4 linked regions of the Oreochromis niloticus genome follow. The protein of the gene in region 2 purifies or fractionates together with the protein of the main gene of each other region. This does not show direct contact. Links are inferred from orthologs where the notes say so. Each region holds a gene or a part of one and is shown on either strand. Other genes may lie near its edges. The genes, in order: anapc11, cdc27, ccnb1 and cdc26.

Region 1 (7,386 bases), on a different chromosome or scaffold from region 2:
AACTAAAATATAAAACTAAATTACTTTAGCCAGGTGAGAATATGGAGCAAATCTAGAATGACTGACTGTAATTTTTCAGTACAAACATTTTATTAATCATTGATGACAAAAATACAGGCTCCTGAGTGAGGAGTGAAATAAAAAGCACTGGAAGGAACGGTCAGTGCAAATCATTACACAGTGATCATGTTGGACCACCTTTGTTCTTGATGAAACACCTGGATCCGGATGGGAGTCATCTCCCGCCACAGCACAGCAGGGGTCACTGAATAGTTTGAGGATGAAAATGATGTGAATCATCTGCTACGGCCTTCACAGTCCCCAGATCTAAGCTCATCTACAGAAATGTCTCCAACCCCAGTGTGTCAGTAAATAAGAGGATATCTTCTGAAAGTATGGTGTGTAGTGGCTCCAGCAGAGATGCAGACTTAGAGAATAATTGTTAAAGAGCACTTAAGTTATTTAAGACCTTATTTAAACAATTTATGTTTTTGGAGACGTCCAAGAGTTAAGGGATAAATTGAATAGAAGATATTTAATCAGCATTGTTTTGATAACCTTGTAAATTTTTTTTCCATTTTTATCCAGACAGGTTCTGACATATGAAAAGCTACAGTCTTTGTTTTACAGTGAAAAGCTACACAAACAAACAAGAAATAATACATCAGTGTGGAGCTGCCATGAAATCAAAGTCAAACTTCACGATCCAAGGAAATAATCAGCCAGACCTTCAAGACAGACTCAATACAATGCATGTTTTTTTTCTTATTTAATTTAATCACAAATCCTTACCAGTAGAATAAAACATATTCAGCGTGTGTTCTGCATTAGTAGAAGTACCAACACAGATTTATTTACAGTCTACATAAAAGTCTGTGAGCGAGCCTTTCGTCTCTGTGGCAGCGACGCCTCCACAGGTTCACTCCTTGAACTTCCACTCCTGCCGGCACATGGGGCACTGCTGCTGGACCTGCTGTGAGTTCAGCCACTTCAGGATGCAGTGCATGTGGAAACAGTGGGAGCACTGACCCCAGACCAGCGGGCAGTCATCCCCAGGCACTTTGCCTGCAAAACAAACAAACAAACACATTAGAGATACTGGGCAGGATTTTGCATTCAGTTGCTGATTAGCAGATACTTGTATCCTCTTGTAATACTAAATGAGGATAAAACAAGTGTTTCCCCACACAGACCACTTAAGTATATTTAAGAACTCATTTCATCCATTTGTGTGAGCAGCGCCATTCCCCGATCAATTTAGGCATTTGCTCTTATTTTGAAAGTTGAGTTGCTGCTAACTAGCTACCCGTGACCTTTCCCGTGTTGCCTTTTCTCCAGTGAGTGGCTCACAGACCTAGCTGCTGTTGTGGCGGTCTTCAATATCAACCTAAAGAACCTACGGACAATACTACAAGACACTGCAGCTGGAGTTGATCTCCAAGATGGGTCACTGGAGCAGCCATCCATCCATTTTCCATCGCAACTTATCTGTGATAAGTGGTGGTGGAAGCTCTTTATCCTAACTCGGGGCCTCCTCCCAGTTGGACATGCCTGAAACACCACCAGAACAACCTCAAGTGTCTCCTTTCGATCTAGAGGAGCTGAGGTTCTGCTTTGAGCGTCTCCTGACTAAAGTGCTCATCCTGTCTGTAAGGCTGAGCCCAGACAAGCTTCACAAGAAGTTAATCTCTCCCACAAATATCCCAAATTAATATCTTTCAGACGCCTCTCACAGCGACACCTTTTCCTTCATGCTACCGTGTCAACAGCGTCTGTGCTGTTAACAACCAGGAAGGTTCCTCTCCTCTTTAGTCCAGAGGATGTGGTGACCCAGTACAATTTCAAATTTCAATTCATCTGACCTAAGAACAGTTTTTCTACTTTGCCTCGGTCCATTTTGAATGAGCCCAGAGGAGATGTTGATCATGTTCACATACAGTTTGCTCTTTGGATGACACAAACCTGGATTTGTGGATATTTGTGGTAAAACTGTCTTCACTGACAGTGATTTCTGGAAATGTTATTGAGCCCTTGCAGTGATTTCCATGACAAAATCGCGTCTGTTTTAAATGCAGTACAGCCCTAAGATCACAGGTATCCTATTGATTTTTGCCCTTAACCCCTTCACACAGATACTATGTGCTGTAGACGACGCGATATTCTGAGGCTTTACAATTTTATTTTGAGGAACATTTTTCTAAAATTGTTCCACAGCTTGTAGAAAAGTTTTTTTGTAGAGTGGTGATTTTTTCCCGTCTCTGCCATCGTTCTCACTACTTAGTTTGTACAAACGGGAGGGGCAGGATAAATTTGGCATATTGTCGATCGGATAATACGTAAAGCGTTATATGTTTTAGAAGCAAAACCACCAAAATAATAATCTTGTTTTGTTATGTTTGCATCTTTAATGCGGACACTCGTTACTTAATGCTATGTTATTAGCTCTGATACTCACAGTCAGGACAGCAGCCGTTGAAGGCCATCCTGCAGATCCCACAGTTGTCATCGTTGGCCACCCAGAGCCAGGAGGCAACCCCGTTCCACTGTTTGATTTTCACCTTCATCCTGCGGATCTGACAGGAGCACAAAAGCATCACACCGGAGCAGCTAACGCTAGCACGAAAGCTAATGTTGACACACGATTTCTGAATATTAATGTTCAGCAACACGTTCTTACGTACAAGGCAGCGACCACCGTCTCCTTCAGGTATCTCACACTCGTTAGGTTAGTCCGTTTCTTAGCAAAAAACAAATCATTTAGAGCTTGTTTGACTGAAGTCTACAACATAAAAGTGATGTTTTAGCAACCCGGGCAAAAATCGTCTCTTCTTCTTCTGTTGAAAGACTGCCAGGCTATGTCCCGGGATGGCGCATGCTGCCCTCTACAGTCGGATGGGGGGAAACCTCAAAATAAAAGAGCACCAAAGATCTGATTTTAAAGAAAACAATCCTGACATCATCAGGTTAGTAACACAAAGGAGCTCCTGCCAGATGTTTCACGAGCTCTGTAACGATTTTGAAAAGGTGATGCTGTCATTCTAATGTTTACACTTGCTTATTTTTTGACAAACATACTTATTTTAATGAACCTTTATTCTATCATTGACCATTTGAGGCAATCTCATTCATTTGGACCTACCTGATATTTTCTATAATATAAGAAATAATAACAATGATTTTTTAAGGGGCTAAACAGAATTGAAATTGAAATATTTGCAGGATGGACACTTGTACAACAATAAATCTGTAATGTGCACATAAAAGCAGCACATTTGGAAATTAATAAATAAATCCTTATTGTTAATGTTTAAAACAACTAGTTTTCGCAGCAACATCAAAACAGACAAGAGCATGAATATGAAAATAAAAGGATACAAACAGCGAGGTAGTATATGCAAAATAATAGTGCATGATGATTATAATATACAGTGCAAAAAATGAAGAATGAGAGGGACAGGGGTTAATTCACTTGTAGTTCTTGGGGTAGGGGTTTATTGCAGTAGAATAGGAGAAGAACTGGGGGGATGTATTTGACTTGCCTGTGGGAAGAAGCTGTTTTGTAATTTGTAATCTATTGTAATCTGTTAGAGCTCAATCAGAAGCAGAACCATTTCCAGAGGACTGTGGCATTGCTTCAGGTGATGTTGAGGATGTATCCATTAAACTTAGTTTTTTTTGCACTCATCCTGCGTAAATCTCACTCAGGGATGGTAGTATCACACGTCTGGAATGACCCAAGCAGGTCTTTTCCGTTTTTGATGAACCACACCGTGCAGCAATAGATGATGAGGCCCGCTATTGTTGACTGAGAGAAGCTGGTCAGCAGGTGATGAGAGAGGATCTTTAACTTCCTAAGGATATAAAGCCTTTCCCCACCCGATGGGAGATGTGTGGTGTGGGTGAGATCGACCAGGATGTCCACACCAAGGAACTTAAAGCTCTCCACTTCCTCCACCTGTACGCCTGGAGCAGAGTGCTCGGTATGCTTCAGGTTTCTTAAGTCTACATTGCTTCTCTGCTTTTTGCTGTGTTTACGTCCAGATTATTGTGACAACATCATACAGTCAGAGGCTGAACTCGTCACCTGCCATCATCAGCAAATTTGACAGTGGTGTTGGTTTGGTGTATGTGCAGTCATGGGCTAAGAGCGAGCTGAGGACAAATATGCACACATACATGAAAACCTTGACACGTCTCCATTTTGTTTTGTTTTCTTTACAAGCAATTGTAATGCTAGATGTCCACTAGATGTAGTTGGTCTGCAATCCAGTGTGCTGAGGTAATGCTCACACTTACAGCACTGGAAGCACATCTGGTCTTCCTTCTCCCGGACATTTTTGTGTACACTTTCTATTCCTGCATCTTGTTAAAATTTTATGTATCCGTTTCTATTTTTTCTAACATTATTTTTACATTAAGGGAAACAAGCACCATTTCCATTTTACAGAATCTGAGATGATCAACTTTCAGTGATGAAATGCAGGTCACTCAGTGCAGAGAACCTTTGATCATTAGTGGAGTTGGAGATGCAGCATGAGGCCCGTATTTGTAACTTCACAGATCACCATGTCACTAACAGATGACTGCAAGGAATGTAAAAGCAATTTTTAGTTCTAAGTAATAAAAACATTTTAATACAGGACTTAAATAACCGTGACAGGAGTCTGCAGTTTCTTATAATTCAAGTTTAATGCTGAAAAACGTAAAGCCACCATTTTCTCATTAATCCACACATCCTTTTTACACAATATCTCACACAAAGGTAAAGAGAAGATATGCAAAGATGAACAGGGAGCAGAGAGACTGATGAATGTGATGAACAGTCACGACAGACAGTTATAGCCCTCATTTTTCAGTGAGATGTTGGTGAGAGGTGCTCACCCTCCAACAGCTAAAGTCAGAGGCAGGTGAAATTTCTGGTGTTCAAGAGAATGAACTGAAATGGAAATGAAAACCCATCGCATCTGAGCACACTTACTTATGCCTACAGCTTCAATTCAAAAAAGGTCCACTCTGCTTTCTAAGATCTACACACAAAACTGGAGTGTGAAAGTGTGAGAATAGTAAAAGGAATATAAAGCAGTAGTCAGGTTTGAACTGTTGCCTCATCAGTCGAACCTGTGAGAAGATGAAGATCAAATCGCCTGAAGGAATAACCAGGTGAAGTCAAGTGTGCCGTCTTAGAGCAGGAAGAGAGAAGAGTGGAGAAACACATTTTACAGGCATCTTCCTCCCCCCACTGTAATTAACATTCACCCCTTTACCCCATCACACACCCATAGCCCTCATCACGAAGAGGGCCACTCAGTAAAACAATTCATGTTATTGCAGTTAATGACATGTAGATACCACAAGTTAACCAGTAACTATTAAAAAAAAAGGAAAAAAAGAAGCAGTTTTGTGTATCAAAAACAGGCAGGGTCCTTATTTTTTTTTTTTTCGTAGGAGGGAAAACAAATATGAACACACAGATGCCACAGCTGTCTTGCTCACGAGGTCTGAGCATTTCCTGTCATCCAGTCCTATAAATAACGCCAAATTTTTGTGCTTCTTTTTGATGTTTCAGTGAAAGAAATGCTAAAACCAACTTTCCACAGTTGTTTTACCGTTACAAATGTCTTTAATTTGGTATACCAAAAAGTAGTCCCGACTGTCTTATATCAGCTAAAGGAGATTCATATTTTATTTATCATTAAATATTTGATCTGATATTCGGTCCAAGTGCTCCAACATGCTCTAGAAAGACTTGAGTCATGTGAGCTACAGAAACCTACAGAGCTGCTTTCAGGGGGACTTGTTTTGGTTAAAGAGTCCCAGAATAAAGACAGACTGCAGGAGTGAGAGAAAGACCAACACTGGCTCATCTGCAGCTCTCTTTTCAAGTCAAACTTTGACGGGACAATAAACACGTTAAAGTGATGCAGTAATCCTGTTGCTTTTTACAGCAGAGTATCACAAAGAAGCAGCTGCCGGACTGTAACATTAGATTAAGCATTATAACTGTTTCAGCACATGTATCATAAACAAAGTTTTAACGTTTGTAACCCAAACTGCTCGAAAATCTGTTGAAAATTCAGCGAGGTACAATGATCCGTGATCGTGTGCAGATGTGCGCTGCCCGAGGAACATGGCGCTGCGTGAAGTCATTACAGTGAAGAGCAACAACCAGTGTGGCATCTGTGTGCATATATGTATGAGGAAACCCCCCCCCTCTTATTTTTTTGCCGTTGTTGTCAGCTGCACTGTGTAACCATGGCAACAGCACCCAATGACTCTTGGCAAAGCTGAACATTTCTGCCCTCGACGGGGAGTCTGATCTGTGCGAAGTCATCAATGCTTATCAACCAAATAGAACACGTTTTAAAAAAGAAAATGAAATGTTCATTCGACTCACGATCGCTTGTCTATTACAGTGGTGACTAAGTGATGCTTACAAAGGCTAAAATGGTATTATTCATTGACACATGGCTCTTAAAATGGCTATATCTTAAATCTTAAATAAGAGATCCGTAAACCCAATCACCGCGTGAGCATGCGGCAGGCCGCCATGCCACTTCACCCATCAATTGTCTCCAAAACACAAACAAACCAACACTAGCACTTGTACAGTATCGATGTGGTCTACTGGCGCGCTGTCAAATGATAAATCACAAAGAAACATTCACCCCTAAAGCACACTGAAATCTACATCACTCTGGAAAAGTAACGATGGCAGTTCCACCCAACTGACCACAACCGTCCAAATTCAGGCATTTCATTGGTTAGCAAGCGCCAGCCAATCAGTAGCACATTCACCAATCAGTGACAAGGCATTTCCTTGACTGCTTCATTTAACTTGAGTTCCTCAAATGTGCAGACGCTTGACAGAAAGCAAAGTAACTGCGGCCGTTCCACGTTAAGATTATTTTTTTATATATATTTTCAAAGCATGAGGTAGGGATGCACCGATGAATCAGCCAAGTATCAGCTGATAAGATGGCGTTACTGACTTTTGCGCTGGCTAAATGTTCAAAAACTGTTCCATGAAGAGCTAAAACATGCATTTTTTTTTTAAATAAAGTTTTTTTTTTTCTTTTCATTTCACCTAGAACAAAAACAAAATAAATACTGAAAAAAAAAATGTCAGTATCAGTGCTGGATTACGGCCTAGTATTTCACAGTCAGTGCATCCCTTACTACGAGGACAGAACACGTGTCGAGGAGAAAATCTGGCAAATTATTTTTGTTTCTCTCCTGACAAAATGTCTGTAGACAAGAAACGGTGGTGCCACAGAATTCAGCCGTTTACCGACTCGAGTTTGCCCGTCTGTCTGCCTGTACACAAGAAAAAGTTCATCTGCAATCAGCACCCGTGATGACGGTGGCCCAGCGGTGCAGCGCAGACAT
Region 2 (7,838 bases):
AGAATATTTTCAAAGGGTGAATGTTTGTCTGTGTGTCTATGTGTTAGCCCTCTGACAGACACCTGTCCTCAGTTACTCTGACACAAAGGCCTCTGCTGTGATGCTCACACCTCTGATGAAGTCTCACAGTGTCAACTTTGTTTTCATGCACAGATAGTTCACACTGAGTTTGCAATCGCAGAGAAACATTCAAATAATTTAGAATTAAATGTTTTTCATTTACAAGGTTCAGAGGGTTGTTTTGACAGTACACATCCAAGAAATATGATCATCATCATGACATTTCTGACTGAGTCAGAATGTCATTGAATCTAACCGAGTCGGGTACTTTGAATCAGTTGTCGAAATCAGTGATGATCCCAGCCCTGAGTCGCCGTAGCTCAGTTGTGATTGATGACAGCGACACTGAGATGAACTGCCGAGTACAGCGCTGCCGTTAGTTTCTCTTCTCCTCAAGGCCATATATGAAACTTCTTTTGAAGTGGATCTATCTCAGTGGCACTGAGCAAATAAACTCTCATGACGTGAGAACGTAATCAAACTGTTGATCAGAGGGAAATTAGTTTAAAGACACTACAATCTAATGTTATCTGGCATGACCTCAGCTTGTGACATCATCCTGTTGTTCAGCCATGTCTCAGATGCTCGCATGTCTGATCTGCTGACCATAACTCAATGTGACAATGTTGAGATTAAATATGTTCTTGTAGGATTTCTTACCCATATGGAAAAGATATATATAAATCTTATAAAGTTTGTATCTGTCTTGTGTGAAACTTGTATGAAAAGCATACAAGAGTGAAAACAGATATAAGATCCCTTGAAAAATTATATAAATGAAACTTGTATGTTTTGGATACTTACTAAAACAATATATGAAAGTAATGAGAAAGTGGCCACTTTCATGAGTAAATCATATAAGTTTTTACTATTTCTTTTCCATATGGGTATGTTAGAGCCCCAACTACAGTCCAGGAGTGAGGCTTAAGGTGAGGAGGAAGAGGATGAGATTCCCATATCCATTTTTGTTCATATTCTTCTATCCAAAACAGGAATGTGATAAAAAAAAAAAAAGAAGAAAAAGAGATTATTTTTCTGTCCTTGATGATTGCAGCACCTAACCATGCAGCAGAAGGAACAAAATAGTCACAGTACGTACGAGTGATTTATGTATGAATTATGAACCAAGGAGTTCAGAATCCAGAGCTCAAGGGCTCCAACTGGTACGACCCTCCAACTGCCCACCCTACCAAAGCCAGGTCAGGATAGGCTGAGCCACAAAGCGTGGAAGGACCACACCTGTCCTAACAGTAGGAGCCTGAGTTTGAATGAGGAAATGACGTCAGAAAACATCAATGGAAAGTAAAGTGACAACGTCCCAAAAGACAGACAAGACTCTGAAGATGAGGACGCCGCTGAAAAGGAGGTGGGAGGAGTTAGAGTGTGGAGATTTGGGCCGTTTGAACTTGGATAAAGAAGCAGAACCGCTCGTTTCCATAGAGACAGCACCGTTCTCACCACTTACGATACAACGACACGCAGTGACATCATAAATGTATTTGCCCGCTTCACTGTAACAATGCAATGACAGCAAGCAGAGCAGAAAACATCCAACTTCAGTCACGAGTCACCTCGTTACCAGACACACAGCTGCACAGATGTGTCTCACATCACCTCTACATCTGGAGACACAGACGAGCTTCTGTAAGCCTGCTGTTTCCACACACACACACACACACACACAGATGTGTTGGTGTATCTGTCCAGCTTTTGAGATTCATTTTGCATTAAATCCACATTATTTATCAAACTGAGCCAGAACTGCAAACAGCTGGAAATTATTCTTATTTTTTAAAAAGTAATGTGTTAGAGATAGCTTGTTACTTTTCTTATAAGTAATTTGGTATCTCATTTAGTTACTCACTGAATAAAGTAACTTGTTACATTACTCTGTATTACTACAAAAGGACCTGAAGCCGTCTCAGTCCACCACAAGGCGGCCATGCTGACCTTAGAGCCAGACGACTGGAAAAACTGGCTGTGGAGCTCAAATGTGATCTCCTCCCACACTCAGCTATAATCAGTGTATTTCAACAGTAAACACACAGTTATTGATCAAACGCTGGTATTGATCAGTAGAAAGCTTAAGGACTACGAGCAGTACAGGTTTACCTGACTGTAAACAGTTTTTGACTCTAGGTTAAAATGAAGGCTGTGTCACCTGTACCTGCTAACACCGAGCCATACATAATCAATAGCCAATACCGCAGTTAGAGCAACACTGTGTGCTGCCATTGGTTAGTACTCCAAACACATCTGAGGGCATCATGTGAGACGGGCCGTGTTTATGCCTGATTGTTATCGATGGGGTCAAGCTCAGGAAAGTTATTGATCAATGCGCTGATCGATCACTGCAGCTGTTCCGTTACTGACGTCACTTCACTTTAACTCTGCAGTCACAGTTTACCTGAGTGAGATCACAAACACACCTGTGAGGAGACATTACCCATCAGTCTGCGGCTGACATGGCAGCTAACGGCTAACAGCTAACAGCGGTTCATGTTACCGGGCAGTTAGCTGCCATTAGCCTGTGCTAGCTGTGAGAGTCTAACGGCCGCGGGATACCTTCATCTGTCGCGGCTGATCTGCGGTCAGACTCTGACATTAACAGACTCCCAAGGAGCGGCTTTGATCGTTTTATGAACTTTAAAGCAGAGTTCCTCCTTACTGAAACTCCGCTGAGTGTTAGCAACCGCGTTAGCTGCTAACCGAGTCATGCTAACACAGAACTCCATTTGAAATCCAACCGTTTCTCTCTGCACTCTCACCTGCACACATCTGAAACTCCGTGATATACCTGAGAACATCGGGCCCTGTTCTATGACAAATTCTGCTCACAGTCAGTGACCCACCCACAGCTGGTTCCGGTGAAACACTGACTTTAAAGAGGTCTGTTCGCTCTCCGCGGGTCATTTCCCCTCAGCCGGACTCAGGCCTCTTCAGATGGACCTGTTCGGATTCCGGGTGGTTTTATTTTAAAATTAGACCGTGTTCGTTTTTTGGATCTGAGCCCAAAAGATGTGCGGAACAAAACCATTCATGAAATATCAAATAAACTGACCAATTTCTCCCTTTAATTAGATCGGAAATACCTGGAATCTTAATCTGACAAATATTTAAAGGTGGCTGGCATGACATATCTCAGTTGTACCGGGTGTAAATTAAAAGCTCTGCGTGACCCGAACGGGCCGTGACAGAGGGTACTAACGGACTAACGACCACCAATAATAGCAGAAAACTCTCTCTGTGCCGTCAGCGGCCCTCTATGGGGCCTGCGGCCGAGGAACAGCGCTCTCACCACGGATTGCACCCACCACTAAGGCCGGGGCGCAGAGACAGGCACAAACTTCATAAATGCTCCGCTCCCCACGCGTGACAACGAGCCAAAGGTGTGTATTTATACCTGGACAGGTTCCTGCAGCACCGTCATCCCGCTCTGAGACTCCTTCTGTCCGGTCCGGGGGTCTCTTTTCTCTCCGCTCTTTCTTCACTTGAGTCTCAGGAGGAGCTGCAGCCGAACATTTGAACATACCGACCGTTAGCAACCGAGTACCGCCGAAGATACCCGAGGAGGGAAAATGCCGCGGCGGACATGAACGACTGTCAAACGGAGAAAGCCGAAGTATCTCCTTCGCCTTCTGGTGGTAAAACTCATTACAGCGGTGTTCAGTGTTCTGTCGCCTCCTGGTGCTCAGACTGGTTAGTAGCAACAGCAGACTGGCTGACATGAAGCCATGAGCCATTTAGAATGGCGGCTTTAAATAACTGGCAGTTGTGGTCTTGGGGAGATTGACTATCCTCGGGGAAGATCCTGAACCCCGAGTTTCTCCTAATACATCCATCAATGTGTTTGTGTCAAAGTCAAAGTCAAAGTCAACTTTATTTGTCAATTCTGCCACATGTACAGGACATACAGAGAATAGAAATTTCGTTACTCTCAAACCCAAATGAACATTTAAATATAAGAGAGTGATTAAAAATGCAAGTAGAATAATTAAAAAGTAAAAATTTAAATAAATACAGTACAATTTTACATATAACAAAAAAAAAGCTATACAATATACAATATACAATATTCAGGTAAGGGTAAATGACATTGGGTGTAAACCAGGCAAGGTAGTGCAAATAGGCAAATAGTGCAAATGGAGATTTGGTAATGTACGGTAGGAGATAGTGTAACAACAAAGTCTTATGAGGTAGTGGTGGTCCAATGCTCCACAAAGTGACTAATAACTGGTGCAGGCCAGTGAGTGAGTCAGAGAGTGTGTGTGTGTGTGTGTGTGTGTGACAGAGTTCAGTGAGACCGTGGAGGAGAGAGGGGAGAGGGGGCAGAATCGGGAGGGAGTTAAGCTTCCTGACAGCCTGATGGATGAAGCTGTCCTTCAGTCTGAGAAAGAAGAGACGCTGCTGTGATTTCTTGGCCAGTGCTGTGGTGTTGTACGTCCAGGAGAGATCCTCTGTGATGTGCACACCCAAGAACTTAGTGCTGCTCACTCTCTCCACAGACGCTCCGTCAATGGTCAGAGGAGCATGTTGGGTGTGCATTCTCCTGAAGTCCACAACAATCTCCTTCGTCTTCTCCACATTCAGAGAGAGATTGTTGTCAACACACCACGTGGCCAGGCGTCTCACCTCACTTCTGTAGTCGGTCTCATCCCTGTTGCTAATGAGACCCACCACCGTTGTGTCGTCCGCAAACTTGATGAAGAGGTTGGAGCTGTATGATGGAGTGCAGTCATGGGTCAGCAGAGTGAAGAGGAGGGGGCTCAGCACACATCCCTGCGGGGCCCCCGTGTTTAAAATGATGGTGCTGGATGTATTACTGCCGACCCGTACTGCTTGAGGTCTTCCGGTGAGGAAATCCAACAGCCAGTTGCACAGAGAGGTGTTAAGCCCCAACTGGACCAGTTTTTGAGTGAGCTGTTGGGGGATTATAGTGTTGAATGCTGAACTGAAATCTATGAACAGCATTCGAACATATGAGTCTTTTTTGTCCAGGTGTGTGAGTGCTGAGTGGAGTGCAGTGGAGATAGCATCATCGGTTGAGCGGTTGGGCCGATACGCAAACTGGAAGGGATCCAGGGAGGGGGGCAGGACAGTCTTGATGTGTTGCATGACTAGTCGTTCGAAGCACTTCATCAGGATGGGAGTAAGTGCAACAGGACGGTAGTCATTAAAGCAGGAGGGAGATGACTTTTTTGGAACCGGAATGATTGTGGTGGCTTTAAAACATGTGGGGACGACAGCCTGGATAAGTGATATATTGGATAAGTGATATATTGAAGATGTCTGTGAAGACATCAGTGAGTTCCACTGTGTGTGAATGGTATGGTAACTGTACCGTATCAGACAGGGGCGATTCTAGGATCAGAGCTTTGAGGGTGCTGAGCACCCAGAGAGCTGCCCAGCCAGGCAAGATAAACTTTACTCGTCACGATGAGACTTCTTCCCTGTCTCTGTCAGTCCCTGCATCCTTAAATGTCTCCAGTTGTCCCGAGTTTCCTCTGACTGTCTCTTTGGTGCATTTAAACCCCTGTTCCTCCCTGTCCTCATCGTCTGTTGTCTTCATCTCCATTATCAGTCATCATAATTTTACCAGTTCTGTGCAAGTCTGCAAATTTCTTTATTAAATCATAAGATTCTTAAACTCATCAAGTCTCTCTGTGCCTGGGTCCTCGTCACAAAACATGACATCATTGTTTTGTACATTTTAACACAATTTAATCCCCATATTTGTGAAAGAAAAGCAAAACACTTTTTTTTAAAGTCTGTAACAAAACCATCAAATCAGATAAAGGTTATTTAAATGCTGCAAACGAAGAATGGATTGGAATAATAATAAAAAAAATACATATCCTAACCTTAATTACTGGGGGAAAATGATGAATGATGCTCACAGTGAGTAACAAGTAAACTGAGTGCATTTTTTGGACAGAGATTCACTTTTAATGTGTATGTATAATACAATACAGATATATAAAAATACACTCCAAAAATTGAGTCCTTGAAATGTACAAAATATTGATGAAAAAATTATAAAAATGGAGGCAACTTTGCCTATGGTACAATGTATACAATGTATGAAAAGATCTTTACTGCAGATACTTCTACGGCTCTGCAGATTTTTTCTTTTAATTTAACCTATGTGCCTCACCTTGAGGTTGGCAAATCTGTCTATCACTTTTTGGTGGTCAACTCTCTCAAGCAGTTTAACAGTTTGTTTTGAATGTCACTGTTCCCTGTCTGTTTTCTTACCTGTTTCTTCCTGACCTTGTACTTTCTCCTCACGCTCCCCTCTTTCCTCTCTCCCTCTTTGGACTGACAATCATACACAAATAGATTGTATTCAATTAGATGAAAAAATTACATTAACATTAAAAAAATTATTATTATTAAGAACACTAATAAAAAAAAAGTCCCCTCTCAGTGTACTTTCAACCAAATGGCAAATAACCAAACTACATGTACATCTAATAAAAGATATAAATATTGAAACACTGATCCAACATTATCCTTTATTGACGGATCATTTAATCTTACAAGTTTACCTGAATGTGGCTCCTGGGTTTAATATTGGCACATGCACATATGACAAAATAACCAGCTTCTCTCATTCCACTTCAAACAGGACAGTGGCAACAACAGCAGGCTACGGACAATTTTCAGTTTTAGATTTTAAATAGGCTAAATTTCAATGGGAGCAACAGGACGGTCAAATGTCGCTGATTTTACTACAGAGTAGGATGGATTGTAGGGTAGCAAACATCGTTGGAAAACACGTTTCCAACACTGCAGGTTGCCTGGGTGTAATGTTTTTCAGTTAAAAAGAAACATGGCCTAACTCCTACCTAACTATATAAAGAGTAAGTGAAGGTTAAATGCAGCTAATATGTCCTGTTTTAAGCCAGCACTCACACCTCCGCTCCGCTGCGTGTCAGCCACCATCACTCTGGCAGCAACGGTGCTAGAGCCAGAGTAGGGGAGAGGCGAGCTGGAACAAACCATTTTGGGAGGGGGGGTATCTATACTTTTGTTGTTAAAATGTTACGTCTCAACCAAGTACTGAATGCTTTTTATATTTTTAGTAGTGTGGCACACAAACAGCAAATATTTTCCAAAAAAGTAAGAAATCTTTGGGGGTGCTTTGATCCATTTTTGGGGGTGCTTCAAAAAATGGGCTAAAATCGCCCCTGGTATCAGATCGCAACACCCTACAACAGATAGTGAGAGCAGCTGAGAAGATCATTGGAGCCTCTCTTTCCTCCATCACAGACACTTATAGAACCCGCTCCATCCGCAAAGCCAACAGCATTGTGGAGGACCCACACACACTCTCCACCCTGCTGCCTTCTGGAAAGAGGTACCGGAGCATCCGGTACCTCACTGCCAAACTACGGAACAGTTCTTCCCCCAAGCCGTCAGACTCCTGAACACCCAGTGACTGGAATGACAAAAAACACACACACACACACACACACACACACACACACACACACACACACACACACACACACACCTTCAGACACCAGGTTACTATTTGCACATTTTGCACATTTCCATTGCACTGTCTTGTGTTGTCTTGTGTCTGTATCGTCCTGTTCTGTCTAGAGTTACACTGTCTTGTTTTTTTGCATTTTTTGCACGTTGCACTTCAAGCAGTCCTGTGTTCGTCTGTTATATGTCATGTGTAGCACCAGAGTGTCGGAGGAACGCTGTTTCATTTCACAGGGTGTAGGTCTGTGGTGGCTGTAGCTCAGGCGGTAGAGCAGGTCATCTGC
Region 3 (7,260 bases), on a different chromosome or scaffold from region 2:
TTACAAATATGAAAGTTTCTCATGACCGTTCCATAAAACCCATTGTTGCAATTTTGCAACCATAACCTGCACAAGTTTATTCTTGCAATCATGTCAGACACTTGTGTAGGTTCTGCATAGATTCAGCTCAGAAGTCTAAAGTCAGGGATAAGCAAAGGCCAGACAAGCTTTGTTGCACCCATATCATTTAATTTGCCAGGAAGTGCAATAAGTTAACAATGCCACTTCAGCTTTATGCCAACTATTTGTTGCACTCAATTATGGATTACACTCTTGACATTGTTTCATAGGTCTGTTCTTAAAAGAGAACGACTTGAATACTTCAGACCTAGTTGTCGTTTTAGCAAGGGCACCAAGTACACTTTTTTTCTCCCCCAGACACCAAAACCTTCGAGACCCTTCAGATGCACTTACCCATTCTCCAGCATCCAATATTTTGAGGGTGAGTGCCAAAGCGGCACTTGCCACCATTGAAGGTGGTAAATGGACCATCTCGTAGTCAACCATTGTGAGCTCCAGGAGATACTTGGCCAGAGTGTGCTGCTCGGCAGTTACCTGTGAAGAGATGCACGAGAAGTTGATGCACGAACACTTAAACTGTAACCCATCAGCACTTCCTGTGACACCAGATATGCTGCAAACCTCATAAATTTTGGAGGCCCTTCTGAGGAACTGCAGGGGGAGAGGACGACCCAGTTGGAACTTCAGCACCCGCAGAATGGTCATCTCCATATCTCTGATTTGGGCTGTGGTGTAGGCCCTGTCTGTGACGTAGGCGAAGTCTGAGATCTCTGGGGGATACATCTCCTCATACTTTGAAGCAAGGAACATGGCAGTCACTCCAACAAGCTGCAGCTGTTTCTTGGGGACTGGATGGTCCTGTTGGGAGGTATAGTCACCATTAGTGAGATGAAAACCATGAAAGGTGGAACGGTGTAGTGGAGGACTAACAGCATTTATAAGTAGAAGAACCAGGATTCACTCACCTGAAGAAAGCGGTCAATGATGCCCACGGTCATGTACATAGTCTCCTGCAGCAGACGAAACTTCAGATTTACTTGCACGAGCCAGTCAATGAGAATGGCCCTCATGTTGCCTGTCACTTCCTGACCCTGCAGATAGTTTGGTCTGACATTCTGTTCAACCTGAGTAGACAAAAAATGGTTAGTGCTCTTTGGGGAAAGTAGCCCAAGATTCCCACTTTAAATTCCTTTATTTTAAGTTGCTTGCCTCAAGCTGGCGGAGATATTTGTAGATGTCCTTCACATATTCACTGCAGAGCATGGGGTTGTCATAGTCATCTGCGTCGACGTCCCTGATAGCAGTGTGCAGAATGACATCTGAAAACGCTTGGCATAGGTCTGCAGGCTCGCAGCCAGAGGTCTCCATTGGTGTGGGAGATGCCGGCTCGGGTGGGGCCTGCACCTCTGGCTCAGGTTTAACAGAAATGACATCTTTTGGCTTGATCTGTTCAGCCTTTTCAGCTCTGGTTGTAACTTTGGTCTTCTTGAGGGCTTCAGTCTTTACAGTCTAAGGGAAAGCACGTTAAAGCCAGAAATGTCAGTAGTCTGAAAAGGCTAAATAATCTTAATATAGAACCAATTCAGTGGTACTTTCAAATAGAGATCGGTTCCCAGCATGATTGGGCCTCATTTAAACAATCTAGCAATTATGCAATTTCATTTTAAGCTGTGGTTCCTCTTCCGTCTAGAGCTTTGAGTTTTGCCAGACAAATTACAACCAAAACCCACTGAGTGTTTTTCCCAGCACGCTCTTAATTGGAAGACTCACAGCAGGAAGCATGCTAACAAACTCCTGCAGGCATGTTATGCTGCTATTTTAATGTAGCCCAAAAGAGGGCGACATGCAAGTGTGAGTTCTCTTGTTATCAATGCCCCCATTTAAGCAGCAGTCCTGCAGCCATCTGAAGTGCTCCCTAAGGTTAAAATAAAGTTTTAAGACAATCACTTAGGCCCTCTGAATTTTAGTCTAAACAGCACTTAGTTATGCACCACGTTAAGTCAGTTTAAGTCAATCATCTGAGCACATTGTACTCTCAGGGGTTTTCCTGTTCTGTTTGAGATTAAGTATATTTTTAAATTAGAGAATCTAAGCAGGAAAATGTGTAGGCTTCTTTTAGAGCAAGAGGCTAAATGCTGACTAATAACTGGTTCCATGTGTAGTCAAGGCCCAGTGTGCCAGGGGAAAAACAAGTTTAAAAGAACACTTTCATACCCTAACAGGAAGTTGTTTCTGAAGAAACTTGTAAACCAGTTTTATTTTGTCCACCTTAGCCACCGATTTGACTCAATTCAGCATTTTGTGCCCGTTGTTTCAAGTGTGGCCCCACTCGGGCCATTTTAACCATTTGGACATCAGAGCTGGAAGTCACTGTGCCCATATGATTTCACTGCAAAATCCCACCATTTTCCATAGATTTAACAGAAAAACATTTAATTTCAGGATCAAATACTTACCTTTTTCTGTGTGTCTTTGTTAACTGCGATGTTACCAATTTCCCCCAGGGCTGCTCGTGGCTTCTGCGTGGGCCCAGACACAGAACAGGCCTTCCCACCGAGGTCGACCTTGGTGGAAGCCAAGCGATTCTGCAGGAAAAAGAGAAAAAAGAAAATCCACAATGATTATAGTAGTTTGCACGCTTTTATCTTTTAGTTAAGCGGAAACCCTTATTATCGACCTGCTCCATGATAAGAAATCCCAAAGCGACAAACGAAAGCTACGTTTTTGTTTTGGTTTTTTTTAAGCAAAAGACTTAAAGAAAGCGCTTCTAAATGTTTCCCCAGATGCAACGATTAAATAAAAGCAACAAATAGAGATGAAAAAGTCTAACCCGGGTCACTCTCAGAGCCATTTCGAAACAAGCGATGCTTCAACAAACAGGCGAAGAGTCGTAATGGAGAACGGTATGGTATAGATACAAGGAACAGCGAGCGAGGTTTAAATCCTCGCTCGCTGATAGCTGATTCGCTGACCTAAGACTCTCCTTGGCGTCTGATTGGTCGAACGCACCTGTTTGAAATGCGTTCCCCGGACAACTTATGGTCACGTGATTTGATTTCTTGATGTTCATTTCCTTTTCCTGTTACGTCCTGCTTTTTCTCTTTTTCTTTTTTTCTCTGCATTTCAAGTAAATAAATTAATAAGAAGTCACTTTAGGAGGGAGAGGAAATCAAATCTAAAAGTGTATTTTATCGTTATACTTTAAATTCTATTGCCTCAAATTCGTTCAGAACACAATTTCTTTCATTTTGAGTATGATAGACCTTCTTTAACATGATATTTTTGATAGCTCTTTTATTTCATTTAGTGTAATAAAAGTCAATTTCTACCATACAAAGTTGCCTTAGTACATGAGACATCTAAGAGTAAAAATGCCTTCTTGAACGATAGAGGCTGGTTTTGCTTTTATTTTTCTGTTATAGCTTCTAAAAGTCTACATTTCAGATGGAATTTCTCACACAACTCACAATATAACAGTTTACTTTTGTCATCCATTAAATAAGCTACAGTATTTATCGCTTTAGATCTCCGTGTATCTTTAAATGCCTTTGTTCACCAAGTAAAACATATCCACTTAGCAAAAAGTAGATACACTCTGCTTTTTCACTTGGATACATAAATGTAAAGTTGACTCTTATCTCCTTGGCAATAAGTAGATGCATTCTACAACCCAAATTACAAAATATCAAAATAAATAAATGTGTAAAATATAAATAACAACAGAATGCAATAAGATGCACATCATATATATCCATATTATATTTACACCAGAACACAGGAAACATAAACGTACCATTTTACCAAAAAATAAGGTTCTTTTGAATTTGATGGGAGGAACACTTTTCAAAAAAAAAGTTGGGACAACAAAAGCTGAGACACCAAAAGGCTGGAAAAACAGCTAGTGTAAGATTTTATGTTAATAAAAAAAAAGTTAGTTGTCAACAGGTTAGTAACATGACAGGGTACGAAAAGAGCATTTTAGAGAAGTAGAATTTCAAAGAAGTAAAGATGGGCACAGGTTCACTAATGTGCAGCAAACTGCATTTACAAATTGTGGAGCACTTTCAGATTAAAGTTACTCGTTGTGAAATTGTGAAGGTCATCATCTACAGTGCATACTATAATATTATGAAAAAGCTCAGAGACTCTACAGACTCATGTCTGTGGCACTGGACAAGGCTGTGAATCAATACTGAATAGATGTGATCTTTGGGCCCTCAAGCAGCACCACATTAAAAACAGGCATGATTCTGTCATGGGAATCATTGCATGAGTTCATGAACACTTCCAGAAATCAATGTCTGTAAACACAGTTCACTGTGTCATCCACAAATTCAGGTTCAAGCCCTATCATGAAAGAAGGGTACAAGTCATCCATATCATGGCAGTCTCAAGTGCTTGAAAAGAAGGCGACTGGGCTTCTTATTGGTCATCCAAGAGGTTTCTTCAGTTCTAAAACAAGTGACGTAGAGTCCCAGTGGTTTGATCCAGGATGGTTTTTGTTCTCTTGGAGGTCGTCCTTGTGGTTGTTGCCACGATATCAGTCATGTGAGTTTTCCTACTGTGAAAAAAGGCCTGGACCATTACCATCACTGGTGCCAAGGTGTGAAACTCTGTAAAACATTGTCCCAGTATGCTGTCCTGTGAGCTACTGAGGTCATTTGAGGCAAGGTGCCAGTTGAAAACATTAGACCCATTATGAAAAAGTACAATAAAGACCCAGGGCTCTTGAGCAGCTGGAATCACAATGAGACCTCACCAAAAGTCCAGTAACCTTATATGTACTTTGCACTTTACTCAAGAAAGAGTGGCAGTGATGGGAAGGCTGCTCCAGTGACGTACTGTGTAGTTTTTCTCACACGCTGGAGAGCCTTCCTGTCCTGAACAGTGCAGCCTCCACACCACACTGTAACTGAGGCAGCGATGATGCTCTTAGCTCTACATGTATAAAAGTTTCTGGTTGACATGCCAAATTTCCAACAGTCGTCTAAGAATTTTTCAGAAGGTGCTCAGTGTTTTGAGACCAAGTAAGAGAGGAATTTAAAGGGTTTTACTCTCTATATCTCTGCCTCAGTGATGTAATCATTTCTTTGGTCTTATCTACATCTAGAGAATTATTATTTCTTGACACCACACCGCCAGTCCTGACACTTCTATGTATGGCTGGGCCATATTATACCGTTCACGGTAATACCTGTATAATGTTAGGCAATGATAAGAAAAGGAAATATCCCGTTTGAATATGGGTAAACGCGCATGCGCAGTGCCTCTGTTTTCATAAGCACATGTTTTGGTAGAGCATGCAAGCGGGCCGTCGTTATTACCGTTATTACCGATATTACCGAACCGATTTTAGGTGGTACACGGCGGTCAAAAATCTGTCAAAAAATGTTTTAGTACGACTTTCGTAAACTATGAAGCCGCACTGCTTGATGGATTGTCGGAGCATTACGGCTACCGTAGTCGGGATCCTCGCAGAGTAATATGTACTGTGCTTCAACATAATATTACCGCATTGTGTGTGTATAACCTCTTTTTAAGTTTTGTGGTTATTAAACATGGTATTGCTCAGGATATGTTGGCCAGTTTCCCCTGGAAATGCCCTTTGGTTAAACTGTCAGCAAGGAATTTGCATTTGCACTGTTACATTTTATATAGCTTCAATGCACATAAAAAACAGCTGCTTGTTTAAGTGAAAATACATTGATGGGGTTTTTTTTGCACTAATAAAGTTGTGGAGTTGTAAAGTAATTTGTCTTGCGTCAATTATATCGTCAGTTATATCGTTATCGCAAATTTTCAAATATATATCGTGATAAATATTTTTGGCCATATTGCCCTGCCCTACTTCTATGTCGCTGCCTCTCCATCAGCGAACAACCCAATGAGCACTTGGAGAGACTCCCAGAGCTAAGTGAGTGAGGAGAGTTGGATTGTTTGGATGCTCATTTCCCTGGATCCCTGGAGCCCCTGTTTTCCTCCCATCACTACCTTTATGTATCAACCTGGTGTTTCTGCTGTAAATAAATGCACTAAACTTGACTCATGAATGCTGTAATTGAGTCAACTCTGCCCAGTGTTTTTGATCACTAACAAGACATTCACAGGTTTTACAAGAATGTACAAGACGTACACTGTAGAACCTTTAGAGTCACTTATTAAAATATTTAGTAAGTATATTTGATCTTGTGTGTGTGAATGTTTGTGTGAATGGGTGGATGACTGGATGTGTAAAGCGCTTTGGGGTCCTTAGGGACTAGTAAGGCACTATACAAATACAGGCCATTTACCATTTACCATTTGTGTGAATTTAAATCTAAAATAAATTCAGACTTGTGAACCCAGTTTTTGTTTTTAAACAAAAAGAGTTACACTGTAAAATTATAAAAAGTTCAAATAAGTCATTAAAAGCACACAATTACCTTGACATTCATGTTCATAATTTGTGTATTTAAACTTCTGACAAAAACTGCTACATGTTCCTCAGTGTGTGAGGGTGTCATCAGTGTACCGGTTCTGTCTGTCTGTATGTATATTAGGAAGAGTCCAAAGTGGTCCTTTTAATGCTGGTCAAGACCAGTGTTTACCACTTTTAAAAAGAAATCACTACAGCAGCACCTGTGGAAGTTTGGATGTGTCATGTTTTGTACTGTTTTGTTTTTGTCTGCTCTCATTACTTTTAGTGCTGTGTTGATGTTTTGAAATCTGTTTTCCTACATAGATGTTTGCTTATGTGGGGTAAGGGTATGTTTGTAGAAACCAGGACTGCTCTGTCCTGAAATCTTTAGTGGCTCTTCGCCAACAACCCTGCCCTCCAATCAGAAGATCACAATTTCCATGACGTGTACCGGAAGGCAGGGAGGACGCAAACGTAACACGTAAAACTAAACAGATGCCACTACCTCTCCTAGACTGAAGACGTCAGCGGGAGCAACTAACATCACTCCCAGGCGGAGAGAGGACCGAAAAGAAAAGGGCACAAGCGACGATTAAACCTAGACGGCCCTAGTTAGTCAGCTACAAGAGAAATTCAGGTGTTTTTGTTAGCCGAAAAAACAGCGTTTCTGTGGCACAAAAAGGTAAGCCAACACCGAGTAGTTAAACCGCAGTCTGCTGGTTAGTAACTTAGTTGTTTCGGGAAGTGTCTCAGCCTAGGACTAATTGTAGCTACAAACCATTTAAAAAGCACATTTTCCAAAACGAGTAACGTCGACGTTGGTGTAAAATTGGCTTACTTAA
Region 4 (7,517 bases), on a different chromosome or scaffold from region 2:
CAGTGGTTCCAGTTTCAGTCATTGTGCAAAGGTACTGTTTATAAGGTGCCCGTTGTGATTTGGCACTATATAAATAAAACCACCCCTCTGAGGGCGGAACCAGGACACGCTGGAAAGATTACATCTCTGAGCTGGTCTGGAAACACCTCCCTGTCCCTGTAACTGGATCCCGGATAAGCAAAAGAAAATGATGGAACGAAATGAATCGACCCACACACGACATCCTGGCAGGAAATTTCTCTGAGTCCGTGAGCGTGTTCAACAATTATTTGACAGTTTTACTTTAGATTTAAAGGGGAAACCCAAGCTCGGTTACTCTGCTGCTTACATTTCTTCTTTTACCCGAGCATGTGGAAAGACTAAATTTAATATTACCGATTGGTTATTGGTTGTCATGGTGACATGGCTGCACATGAAACATAAAAGACAGCGTTCAGTGGTGAAGGTTAATGTGGATGTTTATGTATTCATCAGGCGGGTTTGAGACGGAGGGATTTTTAGCGCTTTTATCCTTCTGTAATACAAGGACTCAGTGTGGTGCCCTGCCTAGTATCTGTGAGAGGAGTCTGGAAGAAGCGGTGCACTCAGTGGTTCTCTTTGCTCCTCCTCCTCTCACGCTTTGATGATGACTCACCGGGGAAGAGAATATCTGGCCAACCAGAGCCGAGCATCCTTTAGGGAGGGGGAGCCTTCGTGGTACCATGTCTGCTGGCACTATGATTGGTCAGAGAGAAAATGTTTAGATCATGCGACCAGGTGTTCTGAAGCCCCACCCACAGTCCAGGTCAGCTGACCTCATCCTGCGACCTCTTCGCTCGCTCTTCGTCCTTCCTGGATTTCTTCAGAGCATCTGGACCGACCACGGACAGCACGCTGCGCAGCCTGAAGACATACACATGCATATGCATACACTTTTACTTCCTGTTTGCTTCCTGCTTCCTTCCTATCACACTGATAAAGTTTGACAGGGTTTTTTTTTTTTTTTTTAATTACTGCCCTAAAATGTTTCCAAGATGACTGCTGAGAGTGTTATTTTGCCCCACCTTTCGCGGCGGTCAGCTGGTCCCTCTCCAAACAACGTGATTGGCTCCCCGAGCGCACGGAGGCCAGCTTTCACCTCAGCGTCATCAGTGGACACGGTGATCTGTCGGGCTCGTCGCCGTCGCTCAAACTCAGCAAGCGCTTCCTGCTGCCGCTCACTGACCCGCTCTTCAATCTCCAGAGTCTCCCCTGCAGGGCATCATGGGAAACAGAGTTAACCAACTTCCTGCTGTCAATTAATCACAGATCTGATTGGGCAGATGTTATTGATCACATGATCAATCAGAGCCTTGACTGTCGGCACTGTGGTCAGCAGAGGGTGGAGGTTTTTCTAATGTTTTTTAAGAGAGATGTTATCAGAGAAATGGTGAACAAACAGCTAACCTGATGAGATGTTGATGTTTCCCGCCTCAATTCCCGCCCTGACTGCATCGCTTCCTGTTGCTGTGCTGCTTGCCACATTAGCGCTCAGACGCTCCCGCTCTTTCTCCTCCAGGCTTCCATAGAAAACTCTGCTCTTCTTCACGGCCGGAGCCACATCCTCCTCATCGGACATATTGACTTCTTTTTTCCGGAGAAACAACAAAAACACATGAGGAAGATACAGGTGACATTTTTAATGACAAAAAGAAAAACTGCTCAGAAGAAAAAACATTATTGATATAATGAGCAGCAGCAGAATGGCTGAAACTCAAACAATCACCCTGATCAGTAATAAGTGATCAATCAGCAATGTGAATCAGACACAATTCATACTAAACTTGAACACCTTTATTTTGAACTTCGTTTTTGAGCTGCTGTAAGTTCCTGCTCAGCTTCACTTGATGCTGTCGGTCAGACAGAATGACACGCTCACAATGATCAGCATCTGTTACAATGGTGAAATGATCTTAATACACCTGCTGACATGTTAATCTCACCACAGAGCTCCACCTCACTGATCTCCAGGTGTGGGTCACAGACAGGTGTTGCACCTGAGGCATGGATTTCCTCTCATCCAGGTAACTTCAGGTTATGCTGGGTTTCTGTACTATTAAGGTCGGAGACTTCCTCCTCATGCAACTCACTGTTGTAACTGATGGGATTTACCCCAGGTTAGAGATCAACAGGTATGAAATCACACCTACTGACCAATCACTATTCCTGGATGATCCCTCAGAGCTCTGCAGGGAGAGTTGCAGGGTGTTTTTCCCTGATCGTCAGTAGTACAAACCGGATTCCAAAAAAGTTGGGACACTAAACAAATTGTGAATAAAAACTGAATGCAATGATGTGGAGATGGCAAATGTCAACATTTTATTCAGAATAGAACATAAATCACGGAACAAAAGTTGAAACTGAGAAAATTTATCATCTGAAGGGAAAAATATGGTGATTCAAAATGTCTTGGTGTCAACAAATCCCAAAAAAGTTGGGACAAGGCCATTTTCACCACTGTGTGGCATCTCCCGTCTGGGGACCGAGGAGACCAGTTTCTCAAGTTTAGCAATAGGAATGCTCTCCCATTCGTGTCTAATACAGGCCTCTAACTGTTCAATCGTCTTGGGCCTTCTTTGTCGCACTTTCCTCTTTATGATGCGCCAAATGTTCAAAAAAGATCTGGACTGCAGACTGGCCATTTCAGTACCCGGATCCTTCTCCTACGCAGCCATGATGTTGTGATTGATGCAGAATGTGGTCTGGCATTATCTTGTTGAAAAATGCAGGGTCTTCCCTGAAAGAGATGACGTCTGGATGGGAGCATATGTTGTTCTAGAACCTGAATATATTTTTCTGCATTGATGGTGCCTTTCCAGACATGCAAGCTGCCCATGCCACACGCACTCATGCAACCCCATACCATCAGAGACGCAGGCTTCTGAACTGAGCGTTGATATCAACTTGGGTTTCTGCGCAACATTGTGGGAATTGGTGATCCTCTACCCATCTTGGCTTCTGAGAGACACTGCCACTCTGAGAAGCTCTTTTTATACCCAATCATGCTGCCAATTAACCTAATTAGTGTTAATTGGTCTTCCAGCTCTTCATTATGCTCAAATTTACTTTTTCCAGCCTCTTATTGCTACTTGTCCCAACTTTTTGGGGATTTGTTGACACCGTGAAATTTTGAATCAACATATTTTTCCTTTAAACTGATACATTTTCTTGGATTAAACTTTTGATCTGTCACCTACGTTCTATTCTGAATGGAATATTGACATTTGCCATCTCCACATCATTGCATTCACTTTTTATTTACAATTTGTTTAGTGTCCCAACTTTTTTGGAATCCGGTTTGTAAACACTCAGTTTTATTCTTTTCTAAGCATCAATATCTGAGCCTAAAGCCCCTTTTCCATTAGTACGACTGGTTTTCCATAACAATCGAGTACCACCTGATCTGTGTGATCGTCGTCACAGCAACGACGCCGAGTTTCCTGTGAAGTAATTAATAACCAACACGAATGCTACAACAAAGGTGGACATGGAGGCGACGATATACCTGCTGCTCGGTCTCTGGCTTTCAATTAGACTCAGGGAACGGGGCATTGTTTTTTGTAGCCATTTCATTTCGTTGCCTGGTTTCAATAATGGCGTTTTTGATTTCATGAACAAGACGCTTTCATGACTCATCGAGTGGTACCACTGAGCAGCCAATCAGTGGCATGCAGTTTGACGACGTCACATTTAAGTACCTGCTTGGAACCCCAGCCCAGCAGGTATTATAAAAGTACCTGGTACCAGGTACTATGACCTGATGGAAAACCCTTGAAACCGTGGCGAGTACTAATGGGAAAAGGGCTTAAAACACCTGCGCTGTCCCTGCTGACGTCAGGTCAAGTCAACTGAGAGAAAAACACTGTGTTAACGTTTCTGGATTAAATTATGTTAAGAGTCCACGTCTCACGACCCACAAGGATCTGTGTGATGGCCACACTCAGAGCTGTTCCAAACACCAATGAAAGGAGCTTCAATGCTTCCTTTACTGAACAGATGAGACACTGGAGCATCCTTTATGAAAGGGAAGGAGCGACAGACTTATCTGACTGTTCATGAAAACAATCATATAAAAACCAAAGTGGAGCAGAGCATGAAAATGTTCATCATAACTTTTCCATTTCATCCATAAGCTGCTGATATATTCATAGTTTTTAACAGAAGCTGATAAACTCACAGCTGAACTCAGAACATCAGACTGCTGGAGAACTACCTCCTGTTGAGTTGTTACTGCATGAAGAACAGATTTACATAAACACTCTAAACATTAAGATCTCTATGAGCTGCTCACTAAGTTTTAGCTTGTGAATATTCATCCAGTTGTAGTACACTGTGTACCAGAGTTGCGCCTCTTTCAACGTTTAAGGCATCTTCAGTAAATCCAGCAGACTTTTAACCACCATCAGTACATCTGAGCCTGAATCTTTGTTCTTTAAAACTCCACGCTGGGTTTTTTTTAACAGGCAGCTGACCTGGCACAACAAAGGCCTTCGCAGAATCAGGCTGAGAACATGCTGTGTTGAATTCAAATTGTATTTGTAGTCCATCCTCTGAACTTTTGAGTTTCAACACCGCGGACATGTTTACAGGCGCCGCTCTAGGTGACCTCTGACCCCGTCCCCGTGTTAGGGTCAATGATAACGAAAACAGAGATTCGTAGTTCAGACCTCTAAGCCTCCTCCTGCAGCTCTGCACCGATCAGTAATCGGTAACTCCTCACTGTTTCTCACCTGTGAGTGTTTCAGGTAAAGCTGTGCAGTCAGCGGAGTCAGCGCGACCCCGGAGCCTCTTCGAGGGCTGAGTGGCGGTAACACGCCGGAGTACGAGCTAACGGATGAGGGGGTAGAGCACAGTACGGCTGATCTACGCTTGGACGTTTGCCTCACCTGTGCAGTTGAACGCAGCGGCTCAGAGTGCCGTTAAACCGTTGAATGAGACATACTTACCGGAGGAAACGAACGACGCGCCTACGCGGAGCTTCGTGACCCGGAAGTTCTGAAGTGTCTCCGGCTCAGAGGTTGCACACTTCCGGTGGACACAGCAGCTGCAGAAAATAAACAGAGAGAGAAACGGCGGGAAAGAGCATTACAACTCGTATATCAGGTACCTGCACACCTGTTCACACTGAGGGTATCCGCGAGGACTGTCCGTTACCGGTCACTGTAACGTCACTGCGACTTCACTTTAGCGCAGCTTAGCTTAGCTTAGCTTAGTTTAGTTTAGTTTAGCTTAGCTTCTGTGAAATCCATCTGCGTGCGCACAGTGCGCATGAGTGGCGACTTAAGGAGCGGAAAGGTCAGGGGTCAGAGGTGAGACTGTTATAGCCAAGGTATGTCAGCAGCCAGTCAGATGAGACCTTTAAAGGTGTCTTTATAACCTTCAGGGCATCCTTTAGAAAAGCAAGCGAGCTAATGACTGAGTGGTGATCAGTCGCAGGAGATATTGCTCCAATTGATCATTGAATCACGAAGTGACTTCTGTGCAGGAATAGGTGTTCTCATGGTTTTTCACAGTTTTTCAGGCTGCTGGTTCTTTTCTGGTGTTTCCTTCTGCTGCCATCACAACAGCAGACCCATAGTACCATCCACACTCATTTGACTGACCAATCTGAGAGCAGATCATGCTACTGGTTCCTGTCTAAACGGCAGGTGTAGTTTAGTTTCTATTGCTTTAGAAGCAGCTGGATGCCCTGAGCTCCGCCCTGAGGCCCATACCCCGGGTATCTCTCGGTTACCCTGACGTCAATAATCAGGAGGAGACTTCAGGAGTCAGTGTTGCCGTGGTGATAAGTTACCTGGACTCCTGCTGTGGCTTTATATCAATACGTTCATCATCAGGATCAAACACAGACATCAAACAGTGTGATCAGTGATTCTGATAACAAATATCAGGAAACATTTTTTAGATCTGATCGATCCTAATTATTGATCTGATGGAAACGATAACTGATACTGATTGCTGTTATTTATCAGATTTCAGAATAAATTAAAGCTTCTGTGTCTGAGCAGAAATAAATGATTTATTGATCCTTTAACCTTCATCACTTGACTTTTCTCCTTCCTCTGAAAACTTTTGAAGTCAACCTGCTCAATATAGGCATCATCATGACAACAGGAGTTGTGGTCTTCTAAGGTTTTATTTTGAAATTACAGGCGGCTGCTACGGCCTCATGATATTCACAGTAAAAGCACAACAGCTTGTTTCTTTTTGTGCCACCATCAACTTTAGAGGCTGTAAAGATAACATAACATAAGATAAGATAAACCTTTATTAGTCCCACACATTGGAAATCTTTTGGTCACAAAAGCATCTGGAAACAGGAGGGGTGACTTCAATAGAAGCGTGTGATATTTTATTTTGAAAAGGTTCAGGAAATGTGTGCAGTAAATCATATTCATCAGTTTTATAGAACATTGAGCTTGGAGGTGAATCATTTTCATCAGTTAGGATGTCAAAAAGCAAACAGATACTCTGTTGTAATCTGAGTACTCAATCGATATATTGATCATCTGCTTTCAGCGTGGACACAAACTGAAAATGTTGAGGAGGAAACCGACTCGTCTAGAGCTTAAGATCGACGACACTGAGGAGTTCGAGAGCGTCAAGAAGGAGCTCGAGGTCTTCTCACTTTAGTACCAATCAATCAGTAACAGTCAATGAGAATGAATAACAATCAGTAACATCTGAGACTTTAAAGGAAGTAAACTGCAAACAGGACATTATCAGGTTTTCTTTTTCTTTAGGCCAGAAAACGTCAGCGAGAGGAGGCAGAGTCGGGAGGTGGAGTGGGTGGGGGCTCTGTAATTGGTGTTGATGTCATTGGGGGTGGAGCCTCTGCCTCCGCATCGTCCTCTACAGCCACATCAAGGGCAGAGCTTATCAATGAGCGAATCGGCTACAAGCCCCACCCCAAACCGGCGACCCTGCCAACCTTATTTGGAAGTTTACAGTTTTAATGATGAATAAAGTTTGAGCAAAAAAATCTTTGGAGTATCATTTTTTTTTACATGAGCAAACATAAACAATGTCAGAGTGAATCGGAACTGTAAGAAAAACATCGTGACCAATACAGGTGCTGTGTTGTACAGCGGTGAGGTGCCAAATTATGTTTATGGGGAGGCACAACTTTAGACTCATATGTATTCACAGTGACACGAGGCCGTCTCTGGTGCTGTTTAAGAGTTTACATTTTTTGCTCGATTATCATTCAGTGTACAATCCACTAAAAAAAATGTTTTTTTCCAGTCTGGAATCATTTTGATATTAAAATGCTAAATAGGGTCAATATTTTTCTTTCCCGTTTCCTCTTTTAACTCAGATGAGAACTGAGCAATTAAGTTCCAATTGCTTTTTTTTCAAATGTATTAACATTATTTTATTTGCACATAAATGTGTCACATACAACACCAGCACTAACATTGCACATTTTTCACTTATACTTTCTCGTAAATTCTGCATTTGCATCATCTTTTTCTTACAATCAACTTAATTTAAATAAA

The links.
Region 1: the proteins of cdc27 (region 2) and anapc11 purify together in Homo sapiens (affinity purification with mass spectrometry; 8 studies listed by BioGRID, with this or other methods). This does not show direct contact. The link is inferred for Oreochromis niloticus from reciprocal best matches to the Homo sapiens genes CDC27 and ANAPC11.
Region 3: the proteins of cdc27 (region 2) and ccnb1 purify together in Homo sapiens (affinity purification with western blotting; 6 studies listed by BioGRID, with this or other methods). This does not show direct contact. The link is inferred for Oreochromis niloticus from reciprocal best matches to the Homo sapiens genes CDC27 and CCNB1.
Region 4: the proteins of cdc27 (region 2) and cdc26 purify together in Homo sapiens (affinity purification with mass spectrometry; 12 studies listed by BioGRID and IntAct, with this or other methods). This does not show direct contact. The link is inferred for Oreochromis niloticus from reciprocal best matches to the Homo sapiens genes CDC27 and CDC26.

Annotation. Positions count from the first base shown.
Region 1 is NC_031971.2:37,631,706-37,639,091, reverse strand, and holds anapc11 (anaphase-promoting complex subunit 11), read right to left. Parts: upstream 2,841-7,386; 5' UTR 2,682-2,840; exon of another isoform or gene 2,678-2,681; intron 2,574-2,677; 5' UTR 2,565-2,573; coding exon 2,456-2,564; intron 1,066-2,455; coding exon 920-1,065; 3' UTR 517-919; downstream 1-516. UniProt on the Homo sapiens protein: Together with the cullin protein ANAPC2, constitutes the catalytic component of the anaphase promoting complex/cyclosome (APC/C), a cell cycle-regulated E3 ubiquitin ligase that controls progression through mitosis and the G1 phase of the cell cycle.
Region 2 is NC_031969.2:35,400,291-35,408,128, forward strand, and holds the start of cdc27 (cell division cycle protein 27 homolog), read right to left. Parts: upstream 3,002-7,838; 5' UTR 2,868-3,001; coding exon 2,829-2,867; intron 1-2,828. UniProt on the Homo sapiens protein: Component of the anaphase promoting complex/cyclosome (APC/C), a cell cycle-regulated E3 ubiquitin ligase that controls progression through mitosis and the G1 phase of the cell cycle.
Region 3 is NC_031972.2:31,329,007-31,336,266, forward strand, and holds the start of ccnb1 (G2/mitotic-specific cyclin-B1), read right to left. Parts: upstream 3,011-7,260; 5' UTR 2,873-3,010; coding exon 2,852-2,872; intron 2,607-2,851; coding exon 2,478-2,606; intron 1,531-2,477; coding exon 1,231-1,530; intron 1,146-1,230; coding exon 987-1,145; intron 880-986; coding exon 643-879; intron 556-642; coding exon 415-555; intron 1-414. UniProt on the Homo sapiens protein: Essential for the control of the cell cycle at the G2/M (mitosis) transition.
Region 4 is NC_031972.2:38,212,797-38,220,313, reverse strand, and holds cdc26 (anaphase-promoting complex subunit CDC26), read left to right. Parts: upstream 1-4,994; 5' UTR 4,995-5,121; intron 5,122-5,133; exon of another isoform or gene 5,134-5,327; intron 5,328-6,537; 5' UTR 6,538-6,555; coding exon 6,556-6,636; intron 6,637-6,761; coding exon 6,762-6,974; 3' UTR 6,975-7,002; downstream 7,003-7,517. Other genes in the region: prpf4 (U4/U6 small nuclear ribonucleoprotein Prp4), read right to left, coding at 635-714, 795-882, 1,044-1,230, 1,426-1,597. UniProt on the Homo sapiens protein: Component of the anaphase promoting complex/cyclosome (APC/C), a cell cycle-regulated E3 ubiquitin ligase that controls progression through mitosis and the G1 phase of the cell cycle.